Caenorhabditis elegans: one gene and its partner. The protein of the gene in region 1 interacts with the protein of each later gene in a pairwise test. Each region holds a gene or a part of one and is shown in the gene's direction. Other genes may lie near its edges.

The links.
Region 2: the proteins of cir-1 (region 1) and mog-1 interact in a two-hybrid assay, tested with the Caenorhabditis elegans proteins (one study listed by BioGRID).

Annotation. Positions count from the first base shown.
Region 1 is NC_003279.8:5,653,117-5,657,660, reverse strand, and holds cir-1 (CBF1-interacting co-repressor CIR N-terminal domain-containing protein), read left to right. Parts: upstream 1-1,803; 5' UTR 1,804-1,840; coding exon 1,841-2,007; intron 2,008-2,054; coding exon 2,055-2,344; intron 2,345-2,393; coding exon 2,394-2,894; intron 2,895-3,020; coding exon 3,021-3,745; 3' UTR 3,746-3,833; downstream 3,834-4,544. Other genes in the region: wdr-12 (Ribosome biogenesis protein WDR12 homolog), read left to right, coding at 35-129, 181-287, 340-464, 516-610, 720-1,041, 1,096-1,221, 1,272-1,404, 1,469-1,595; F55F8.3 (Periodic tryptophan protein 2 homolog), read left to right, coding at 4,085-4,102, 4,157-4,269, 4,314-4,408, 4,456-4,544.
Region 2 is NC_003281.10:9,951,256-9,957,966, reverse strand, and holds mog-1 (putative pre-mRNA-splicing factor ATP-dependent RNA helicase mog-1), read left to right. Parts: upstream 1-1,751; 5' UTR 1,752-1,754; coding exon 1,755-1,870; intron 1,871-1,927; coding exon 1,928-2,041; intron 2,042-2,084; coding exon 2,085-3,393; intron 3,394-3,467; coding exon 3,468-4,295; intron 4,296-4,465; coding exon 4,466-5,007; intron 5,008-5,064; coding exon 5,065-5,236; intron 5,237-5,464; coding exon 5,465-5,779; 3' UTR 5,780-5,907; downstream 5,908-6,711. Other genes in the region: alx-1 (Apoptosis-linked gene 2-interacting protein X 1), read right to left, coding at 1-344, 395-609; K03H1.11 (F-box domain-containing protein), read left to right, coding at 6,004-6,274, 6,388-6,683. UniProt on the Caenorhabditis elegans protein: Probable ATP-binding RNA helicase involved in pre-mRNA splicing.

The DNA of each region.
Region 1 (4,544 bases):
TCAAATAAAAATGTTATACAATTTTATTTTTCAGGTGCATGGAAAGAGCGGCGATTCGAATTTCTGGTTGGTGAAACGTTTTTGCGCACGAGTCTAGCTGAATTCATCGAGGAATACGAAGTGGAAACGGTAAATTTCATTTAAAAAAAGTTTAGAGTTTTAATAAAACAAGCTCTGCAGGAAACAATCCTTAAAGTGGAATGCGTAATTGGAATTGAAGCTCCAAAACCACTTCATGATATCCAAGCGCCTGATTGGGTTTCTTCGGTACAAATCGCAAACGGCCAGTATGTTTTTTCCGCTTAATGTTTGGTAAAAGTCTCATTCTGAAATTTTCAGCATTTTCTCAACAACCTACGGAGGAGACATTGTAATTGTGGATCGTAAAGGAAAAGAGACAAAGTTGGCTGTTAATTCAGCAAATCGTCTTTTAAAGTGCATCTCAATCGTCAAAGCACCATCTAGTCAGTTTTAACACTAGTTGAAATTTAAAAAAACGATAATTTTTGTTTCAGAGAAAAATCAATTGGACGGTACAGAATTTGTGGTCGGCGGTGAAAATCAACTGCTGACTCTCTATGCAATTGAAAAAGGAGCACTTGTTGAGAAGGTTAGGTGTTCGAATTTCGGGGTTATCAGTTTTATCAATAAATTTTGTTTCGAAAATTCTTTTTTTTTATTTTGCAGTCATTACTTCATTCTTAATAAAAATTTTCCAGCTCATCCTTCGTGGTCATGAACGTGCCGTCGAATGTGTTTCAGTCAACTCGGATTCGACCCGTGCGATTTCTGGATCAGTCGACACAAATCTCAAAATTTGGAACTTGGATGCATCTGATGAAGCAACAACATATGAGAAAGAAGAAGAAGAAGAAAGTGCGAAGAAACGCCGAAAGAAAGAAACCAAAACTAAAGTTCCGATGGTTACGATTGGAGGGCATCGTGACAAAGTATCCGCAGTCGAATGGTGTCCATGGAATTCTGGACACGCATTTTCGTGCTCGTGGGATCATACTATTGTTGAATGGGATTTGGAATTAGGTTAGTTCTAATGATAAATATCCTATTTATATACAAAAAATAATTTCATTCAAGCTGGTGAAATTTCGCGGATCAAAGGACCCAAATCATTCACAAGCATTGATCTTCATCCGAAGAGTGATCTTCTCATCTCCAGTTGTACTGATGCTATTCCAAGACTTTATGATCCAAAAAATAGAGGTTTGTTTGTTAATATTTATTTAGTCTCTTGTATTTATAAAACATTTCAGATGGAAGTATGGTTAAACAATCATTCATTGGACATCAAAATGGATGGGTTGAAGCTGTCAAATGGAATCCGTTGGATACAAATCAATTTGTTAGTGTTTCCACCGACAAAACTGCGAAAATGTGGGATGTAAGGTAGGTCTTGTTTCAAAAATTAAAGAACCATTCAGTTTTTACTTTAATATTCGGTTTGTTTCAGATCCTCAAAGTCTTCATTGTTCGACATTCATGGACACGATGATCGTATTTTGTGTGCCACGTGGAATGAAGGACTAATTGCAACTGGATCCGCAGACTGCACAATCAAAATCTTTGAGACTGCTTGATTTGTTTTGTTTTTTGTTATTCTACAAATTCTTATATTGTTTTTTTTTCTATATACCGCGTTTTCTATTTGTTGATTTTGATTTTTTGTTGAACTTTTTATGAAGTTATCCACTTGAATTTATTTTCCATTACCTTCTGACAGTTTTGAACTGTGTTAAATATTTCAATTATTTTTCTTTCTTCAATTTTTCATTCAAGTATTTTCAGAATTTTTCAGTGAGAATCAAAACAAAAGCGTTGCAAAATGGGGAAGGGTTTTCAAAACTTCATGTCCAAAAAGGACTTCCATCCATCCGCTTTTCGGAATCTCAAAATGGTCTGGGAAGCACGACAGAAGAAGTCTTTGGAGGACAAACGACAAGAAGAACTTCGAGTTGCTTATGAGAAAGAGCAAGAAATTTTGAATAACAAGTATGTTGCATTCAATATCTTCTCACTAGATTATAAATATTTTTCAGAGCTCTTCTTGGAGACGAAAAGGCCAAAATGGGATTATCGTTCATGTATGATGCTCCAGCTGGAATGACAAAGAGAGAAGAACCGAAAGAAGAGCCGAAATTCGAATGGCAACGGAAATATCAAGCACCACGTGAAGATTGGGCTAAAGGAAATGAAGAGATCCAAGATCAACCATTCGGAATTCAAGTTAGAAATGTTCGATGCTGTAAATGCCACAAATGGGGTCATATAAATACGGATCGAGAATGTCCATTGTTCGGAAAATCTGGAAATTTTGAAGATGAAGGATGTAAGTTTCCGAAAAAAAATCGAATTAAATGTGTAAAATCAATTTTCAGATGCAAATAATCCATCAGACCTAATCAAAGATCTTCGTCGGAGACGACAGGAAGGCAAAGCAGGACCTTCAACATCGAAATCGTCTGCTGCTGCGGCGACAGGAGAAGATGACGATGAGGATGAGTGGATGGATCATCAGCAACTTGCGAGTGATATGCGTGAAGAACATGGAATCAAACTCAAAAGTTCTGTTTTGGCTGGAATGCAGACAGATCAACAGCTAACAAGAATGAAAAAAGAAATGACCGAAGAAGAAATGATGCTGGAGTTTTTCAATTCGATGACTGAAAAGGAAAAAAAGAAATTGCATAAGAAGCTGATGAGCGGTGCAGATTTGGAAGATGTAATGAAGAAGAAGAGTAAAAAAGAGAAGAAGAAGGAAAAGAAAGAGAAACGGAAGAATAAAGACAAGAAGAAAGATAAGAAGAAAAATAAGAAGAGCAAATCTCGTGAAACTGATGACGATTCTGATGGCAGCGATAGTGAGGATGATTGGAAAGGTATTTAAAGATGAGGTTTTTACATAATTAATTTGATCCTAAACACTTGTTCATTGATATCAAATATTAACGAAACGCTTAGAGTAGTTATTAGTTTCTCGATTTTTCAACCAGTTCATGTTTCAGAAAAATCATCGAAAAGGATCAAAAGAGAAGTGGAAAGTTCTCCGGAATACAGATCGAAGTATATCAAGCAGGAAGTTTTATCAGAAGACGAGAATTCCCATGGAAGAAAGGATTCGAGCCGAAAAAGAGCGCATAATGATTCAGAATCGTCAAACGAAGTAAGATCGTCAGAGAGGAAGAGATCTCGAAGAGATGATTCTCCGAACGCCAAAAGAAGTATCGGGTTGAAATCGCCGGAGAGGAGAAGCTCACGAGATCGGAAATCTTCACCCAAACAACGTCAGGATTCACCAGTGAGAAGACGGCGAAGTCCATCGTCGATTCGGAAGGAAAGTCAGCGTGTTCGTAAACATTCACCAGAACAAAAAAGAAATGGCCGTCATGATTCACGATCAGTGTCCCCTGTTAGAAGACGTCGTTCTCCGTCTCCTGACAATCGTCAGCTGGGTTCGAGAAAACAATACTCGCCACTGCGACGTCGCCAATCATCTCCGATGGTTGCATCACCAAGAAGACGTAGATCTCCATCACCAGAACGACAGCGCAAGAGACGTTCACCATCCGATTCCCCGCCAACAAGGCGTCTTTCTACGTCACCGATCCGACGTCGTAGAAGTCCATCGCCCAACAAGTTGCCTGTGAGAAGGCGTCGTCATGATTCCGGATCGCCTGATCGTGATGGATCTGAATCACCGAAAATGTGGAGAAAGAAGTCGCATAAATGAACGCTATTCAAATCAATTTTTAAAATTATTAAATGTGGTTTTCTTTTAAATTTTTTCCGTCATGTCTAATAAAGTATTTTCACACATTTTTGCTGTTTATAAATTTCTTGTATTTGGTGTTTTATAAATAATATTCTTAAGAATATTCTTCAATGGAAATGTTTTTATCTCTCATTGCGATACTTCTAAAATCCGCAATTGCGTCAACGCACGAGAATTGCGCCAATGAAGATTCTTAGCGCGGAATTCGTGCTTTGTATTTTATATAAATAAAATATATTTTAGTTTTCATTATTTCTTCCATTTTCAGCTTGTTTCATTGAAGTCTTGCCATTCACTATGGACACTAATTTCAAGGTAATTATTTGAAGCGTTAATTATTCAATTAATATTCCACCAAACCCATTTTAGTTGTCCAATTGCATTGGTACAGTGTATCGAGACGGTCAAGTGGCGTTCAGCAAAGATGGATACTCAGTGATTTCACCTATTGGCAACAAGCTATCAATTTTTGATCTCAGAAAGTAAAAAATAATTTTATATTCACATTTGATATATAATTTTTCAGCAATACTTCAAAAACATTGGATATTGACTGCAATTACAACATTAAAAGACTCTCTATTAGTCCATCGGGTTATCATCTTCTTGCTTCTGACGAGCGTGGGTTATAATGAAACCTATTCGAAGTCAATATTAATATTCTTCAGGTGGAGTTGTTCACTTTGTCCATTTGCTGTCCGAATTCAAAATATATACTTTTCGCAGCAACAAACCGATCGGATCACTTCAGTGGTCA
Region 2 (6,711 bases), on another chromosome or scaffold:
CAAGTGTATCTGGCATGAGATCAGGAGTTGGTTCCTGTTGAACCATTCCGAGAACAACATCACGAAGACGGGCGAATACTCCAGCAGATTGTTGGAATAGTTTTGCAGATACTTTAATTTCATCATCGGTATGGAATTGTTGAGCAGCTCCGATTTGAGACATCAACGATCCGATATTGAACAGAACGGCAGCACGTTCAAAGGATCCGTCAGACAGGGATAAGGATGCTCTGCTTGAGAAGAGGCTTCCTTTGTCGAATGCATCCTTCCATTTGAAAACAACTGGATTTTGAGTTGCAGAGATTATAATTTTGTTTTCAATGGCAACGAGTTGATCATAATATCTGTAAAAAACAATTATTTCAAAGATATTCTTTTTTTTTAAATTTATTACCTAGTCAAAACATCGAGAGCACTTTGATGCTTGTCGAGAGGCTGACAGCAAGCTTTTGAACGGAGTTTATTAAGTTCCTGAACAGCTTCGGCGACATCTGAGCGGTTATTATCGGATGTATTGTAGACATTGTCGATATAGCTTGTAAGTGGCTTCACAAGATCCACTTCATTAGTCGATTTCAGCGGTGCGCTGAGAAAGCCGAATGTAGCCATTCTGAAAGAAAATTAATACTAATTTGAAGTGAGAAATAAAAAAAATAAAATAGAAAGATTCTCTTTAAAGAATTTTTCTGAAATTTTGACAAACTGTGTTTCAATTAAAATGTGAAACATTAATCAAGAAAACCAATGAATTTAGCAAAAAAAACACGAAGATGTTACGAGAATTCAAAAATAAAGTTTAGTTTTAGTAAAAGTTTAATTTTTACAGTTATATTCAGTTAGCAGGGTCAATTTTCTATAATTTAACGCAAAATCCCCAGCCAATTCACTCCATCCTTAATTTGAGGTGAGCAATAGGAAAATACGAAGCTTCTCGTTAATGAAGGACAAGAAAAATGTAATAGAAAGTAAGTTCATCACATCGATTCACACTCCTAATCATTCAACAAGAAGGGAAAAACGTCATTTCAGACATTAGAATGCAAATAACGTTCGTGATACGAGTGATGAGTCATCGATGCTGCCGGCATGGTGACCGCCCCTCTCGATTTCGCAATTCGGGTTGCAAATAGAATTGAGGTGAGAAAAAAAGAAAATCAATAGATTTCAAAATTAGTAAACGTATGATTTGATATGAAATAACAATTTGAATTCTAAATATATTGAGTTTATTTTAAGCTAGGGCCTAAGCAATCCACTCTCTCGAAACAACTTTCAACACTTCAGCTCTCCGATCTGTTGCTTCCGGGGTTCTCAAGCGCTTGAGTTAACAAACAAATCTATAGAAATTGAACCGTTTAAGTGGGTATCGGTGGTTGATGATACAGAGGGAAATTTGAAGAACATCAAAAATTCGGATTCAATAGTGAAAACTGGTGGCATTGAAGTAGATTGTGATTTTCTACTGATTTATAGGCTATTTTTTGTTTGAAGAGACCTCCGGGAAACCTTTAATGAGAGAAAAGAAAAGAAAAAGATGCAACAAGAGAGAAAGAGTGTTGAGAAAATTGAAGAAAAAACAAAAAATTCGCGAAAAATGTTTTTATGAAAGAGCGCTCTATCGAGACACAAAAGTCTGAGTCTCTTTTCATAATGCGTTCTCTCTCGCTCTCTCATTTTTTATTTATTTTTTATTTATTTTCGATTTCCTTTTCGAAATTAAATTAGTTTTTCTTAAATTCTTTATTTTTTAGTAAATGTCGGATAAACGGGCAGATGGCCGCCTCGAAGGAACCAGTGACACATTTGGTGGATTGGTTATTAAAAAGAAAAAAGTAGAGGGAGATTCAAAACCAACCGAACCATCCGGGAAGTGAGTAACTAAATATATACTTTAATTTTCTTCAAATAAAAACAATTTAAATTGCAGAAGCTTGCTTGGGCTCGATAGATTGGCGTCTACAAAGCGGGAACACGCCAGAAAACGTCTTGAGGATGATGACGATCGAGGTGTCACGGAATCGGTTCGAAAAGGAATTGAAAAGTGATTCAAACATTAAATTAGCGAAGTAAATTGATGATTTCAGAGTTCATGAGAAGCATCGAGATCGTGACGACCGTGGAATGAAATACAAAAGTCGGGATGATGATCGCAGACGAGACCGTGACAGATCAGAACGAAGAGAGCCGAGTAGTAGAAGAGGTTGGAAAGATCGAAGTGGAGATCAGACTCCTCGCTTTAAAGTTCCCGATACACCATCCAGAATGAGCTGGGATCAAGATGATCGTGAAGGATCTTCCAGAAAACGAAATAGTTGGGATATGCCGACTCCGCGGGGTGAAAGAGACAGAAAACGATATATGGATTCGGAACGAAGCATTTCAAGTGCATGGAGAAGTGAAAGAAGGAATAGAGATGATGAGAAGAGACGGAGACATCGAAAACCAGAAGATTCGGTACGAAGTGTTAAAGAAGAAAAAGCAGAGCCCACATTTCATGATGACGAAGAGAGAGCTCAATGGGAAGAGGAACAGAAGAATTTGGACAGAGAATGGTATGATAATGAAGGAGCATTTGATGATGAGTATAATCCATTCAATAAGGTTTCTGACGAATTTGTGGAAAAACGAGAAAAGCAATGGCAGGAGAAAACTCAGAAGCCGAGACTTACAGTGAAGCAGCAGGCGATCAAAAGAGAGAATGAGTTATGGGAGAACAATCGACTGCATAGATCAGGAGTCGTCGCGATGGCTGATGAATTATCAAGTATTTTTGAAGATGAAACTGATGAGAATCGTGTCACAATTCTCGTTCAAAACATTGTTCCTCCATTCCTTGATGGTCGAATTGTTTTCACTAAACAAGCACAACCAATCATTCCGGTTGTTGATACAACATGTGATATGGCTGTTTCAGCAGCAAGAGGAAGTGTTGCAGTACGAAAACGGAGAGAAGTTGAAGATAGGAAGAAGGCTCAAGATAAGCATTGGGAGTTGGCAGGATCAAAACTCGGAAATTTGATGGGTGTTAAAGAGAAAAAAGATGAAACTGCTGATCCAGAAGACGATGATTCTGGAAATTACAAAGAATCTCATCAATTTGCATCTCACATGAAAGATAATGAAGCAGTTTCGGATTTTGCGATGGAAAAGTCTATCAAGCAGCAAAGAGAGTATTTGCCTGTATTTGCGTGTCGGCAGAAGATGATGAATGTGATTCGTGAGAATAATGTGGTTATCATCGTCGGAGAAACAGGATCAGGAAAAACAACTCAGTTGGCACAATACCTACTTGAAGATGGATTTGGTGATTCGGGACTCATCGGATGTACTCAGCCGAGACGTGTCGCTGCAATGAGTGTTGCTAGACGTGTAGCTGATGAAATGGGAGTGGATGTTAGTTTCATTTTTGAGATAATTATGTATTTCACCACTGTTTTAAGAAAACAATTTTATTTTAATTTTTACAGCTAGGACAAGACGTTGGTTACGCGATTCGATTCGAAGATTGTACATCAGAAAAAACAATAATCAAGTACATGACAGATGGTATTCTGCTTCGTGAATGTCTTGGTGATGGAAGTCTTGATCAATATTCAGCAATTATTATGGACGAAGCTCACGAACGTTCACTCAATACAGATGTACTCTTTGGTTTGCTCAGAGAAGTGATTGCAAAACGAGCTGATCTGAAGCTAATCGTTACTTCTGCTACTATGGATGCTGATAAGTTTGCAGACTTTTTCGGAGGAAACTGTCCCACTTTTACAATTCCTGGAAGAACATTCCCAGTCGAACTGTTTCATGCGAGAACTCCTGTTGAAGATTATGTGGATGCTGCTGTTAAACAAGCTGTTACAATTCATCTGGGTGGTATGGACGGAGATATTTTGATTTTCATGCCAGGACAAGAAGATATTGAGTGCACTTGTGAAATGATCAAAGAGAAGCTTGGTGAACTTGATGAAGCTCCTCCACTTGCTGTTCTACCAATCTATTCCCAGCTTCCAAGTGACTTACAAGCCAAGATTTTCCAAAGAGCACCCGGTGGAATGCGGAAAGCAATTGTGGCTACAAATATTGCAGAGACATCGCTCACTGTCGACGGAATTCTATTTGTAATTGATCCGGGTTTCTGTAAGATGAAGGTGTACAATCCAAGAATCGGTATGGATGCTCTATCGATCTTCCCAGTGTCACAAGCATCAGCGAATCAACGAACTGGTCGTGCCGGACGTACTGGACCAGGACAGTGTTATCGTTTGTATACTGAAAGACAATTTAAAGATGAGCTTTTGGTAAGTTTGAGGTGAATCTCACAAATCTGGAGTGAGCGACGAATGCTAAAAATTTCATGGGAAAAATATCGAAAACGACAAATTTTTAATTTTATTTTTTAAAAATATATATTAAAAAATATATATATATGCTCAGCCCTGTTTCAAATAAAAACAAATTTATTTTTCAGAAGAGTACTGTACCTGAAATTCAAAGAACCAATCTCGCCAATGTAGTGCTTCTTTTAAAGTCTCTCGGAGTGGATGATCTTTTGAAATTTCACTTCATGGATGCACCTCCACAGGACAATATGCTGAATTCAATGTATCAACTTTGGACTCTTGGAGCTCTCGATAACACTGGACAGCTCACGCCAATGGGACGAAAAATGGTTGAATTCCCACTAGATCCAACTCTGTCGAAAATGCTCATTATGTCGGCTGAAATGGGATGCAGTGATGAAGTTCTGACGATTGTTTCGATGTTGTCAGTGCCCGCAATTTTCTTCAGACCAAAAGGACGAGAAGAAGAAGCTGATGCCAAGAAAGAAAAGTTCCAAGTTCCCGAATCGGATCATCTCACTTTCTTAAACGTCTATATTCAATGGAGAACACACAAATATTCTGCAAAATGGTGTGCCGACAACTATTTACACGTAAAAGCTTTGAAAAAGGTTCGAGAAGTTCGTGCTCAATTGAAGGAAATTATGCAAGATCTCAAGCTTCCATTGATGTAGGTTTTTTTTATTTGAAAGTTTCTTAGAACTACAATTTTATAAAATTATTTCAGCTCAAACGGAAGTGAATGGGATATTGTGAGAAAATGCATTTGCTCTGCGTATTTCCACAATGCAGCTCGTCTTAAAGGAATTGGTGAATATGTCAATGTTCGTACCGGAATTCCATGCTTCCTTCATCCAACTTCAGCTCTTTTTGGAATGGGTTTCATGCCTGATTACGTGGTAAGCAGGGCTGAATCTGAAGAAAAAAAAATGCTGAATCGGTATTTCAAATATTTCGGCCAAATTGCACTCTATTTTAAATTTTGAATATGATTTTTGGAAAAAAAGTAACACTTAAAAATTTATGAATGTTTCAGTATATCCTCTTTTTCGAAAAAAAGAAGCGGAAAATAAATTATTCGCCAAAAACACATTCCTTTAAACTTTAAATTAATATTCTAAATTAAGGTGTACCACGAATTGATTATGACAGCCAAAGAATATATGCAATGTGTAACTGCTGTCGATGCAATCTGGCTTGCTGAACTTGGACCCATGTTCTATTCGATCAAAGAATCGAAACAATCACGCAAAGAACTGAAAATGGAGAGTGTCCGAACGGTTGAAACGATGGAAGCAGAGATGCGAGAGGCGCAGAAAGAAATGGAACGGCGGAAGGAAGAAAGTGACAAGGCGTTCAAACGACCAGAATCTTCCAGGCGTGTTGTTGAAGTCGGATCGAAATCGGCCAGATCGGAGAGAAGAAAGCTGTGGGGTCTTTGATCAATTACTCTCTTTCTCTGTCTTATTTTCTCGTGTAATCGGGTGTCACTGTTAATACTCCAGTTCGATTTTCTATATACTCTGTTGCAATTTTATTTTCAGAAGTTTATTCCATAAACCTTATATTTATTTTTACCTTTTTCAATTTTTCCCACTTTCGGTACATTTCCTTTTTTACTGTATGTTTTTCAACAACAAAAAAAACTCAGAACAAAATTTTCAGAATGATTCTCGGTGATATGCCATTGGAAATCATCCGAGAAATCCATAAAGGGTTAAAACCTACGGATCTTGTTAATTCAGCTTTAAGTAATATCGATGTGATGAGAGTTATCGTAGATATGATTCCAAAAATCCGTGCTATAAAGATTGGAATCACAAGTGAGAAATTGAATGGAAAATGTGATGGAGACGAATTTGAGCTTCATATTCCAAAAGTAAATCGAGAAGAAATTCAAGAACTTTTACATTTTCTAATGCCACAAATAGTTAACGGTATTTATTTTCTTATTCGTCTATTTTACTTTTATCTAACTGTTTGGATACAAATTGAAACATTAAAAAAAAATCATTCAATTCTCGAGTATAATTGCCAATTTGATTTTCAGAAATTCATTCCCTTCAATTGGAAAATGAATTAGTCGGCGACGAGATTTCTGATGAACAGCTAGCTCAACTGCTCCAATTGACAAAAAATGCTCCACTAAAGCAACTGGCACTATCTGAAATTGATTTGGAACGAATAAATACATGGACTCTCGCTTTACTTGCTGGTTATGATAAGCTTGAGAAAGTTGAGATTGAAGGATGCAATTTGGGAGGTGACACTGAAGCAAAGTTGCTCAGATGCTTTCAGGCATCTTTCCAGACTCTTACTCAAATTGATTTGAAAGGGACTTCACAGGTGAATATGATACATTTAAAGGAATCTC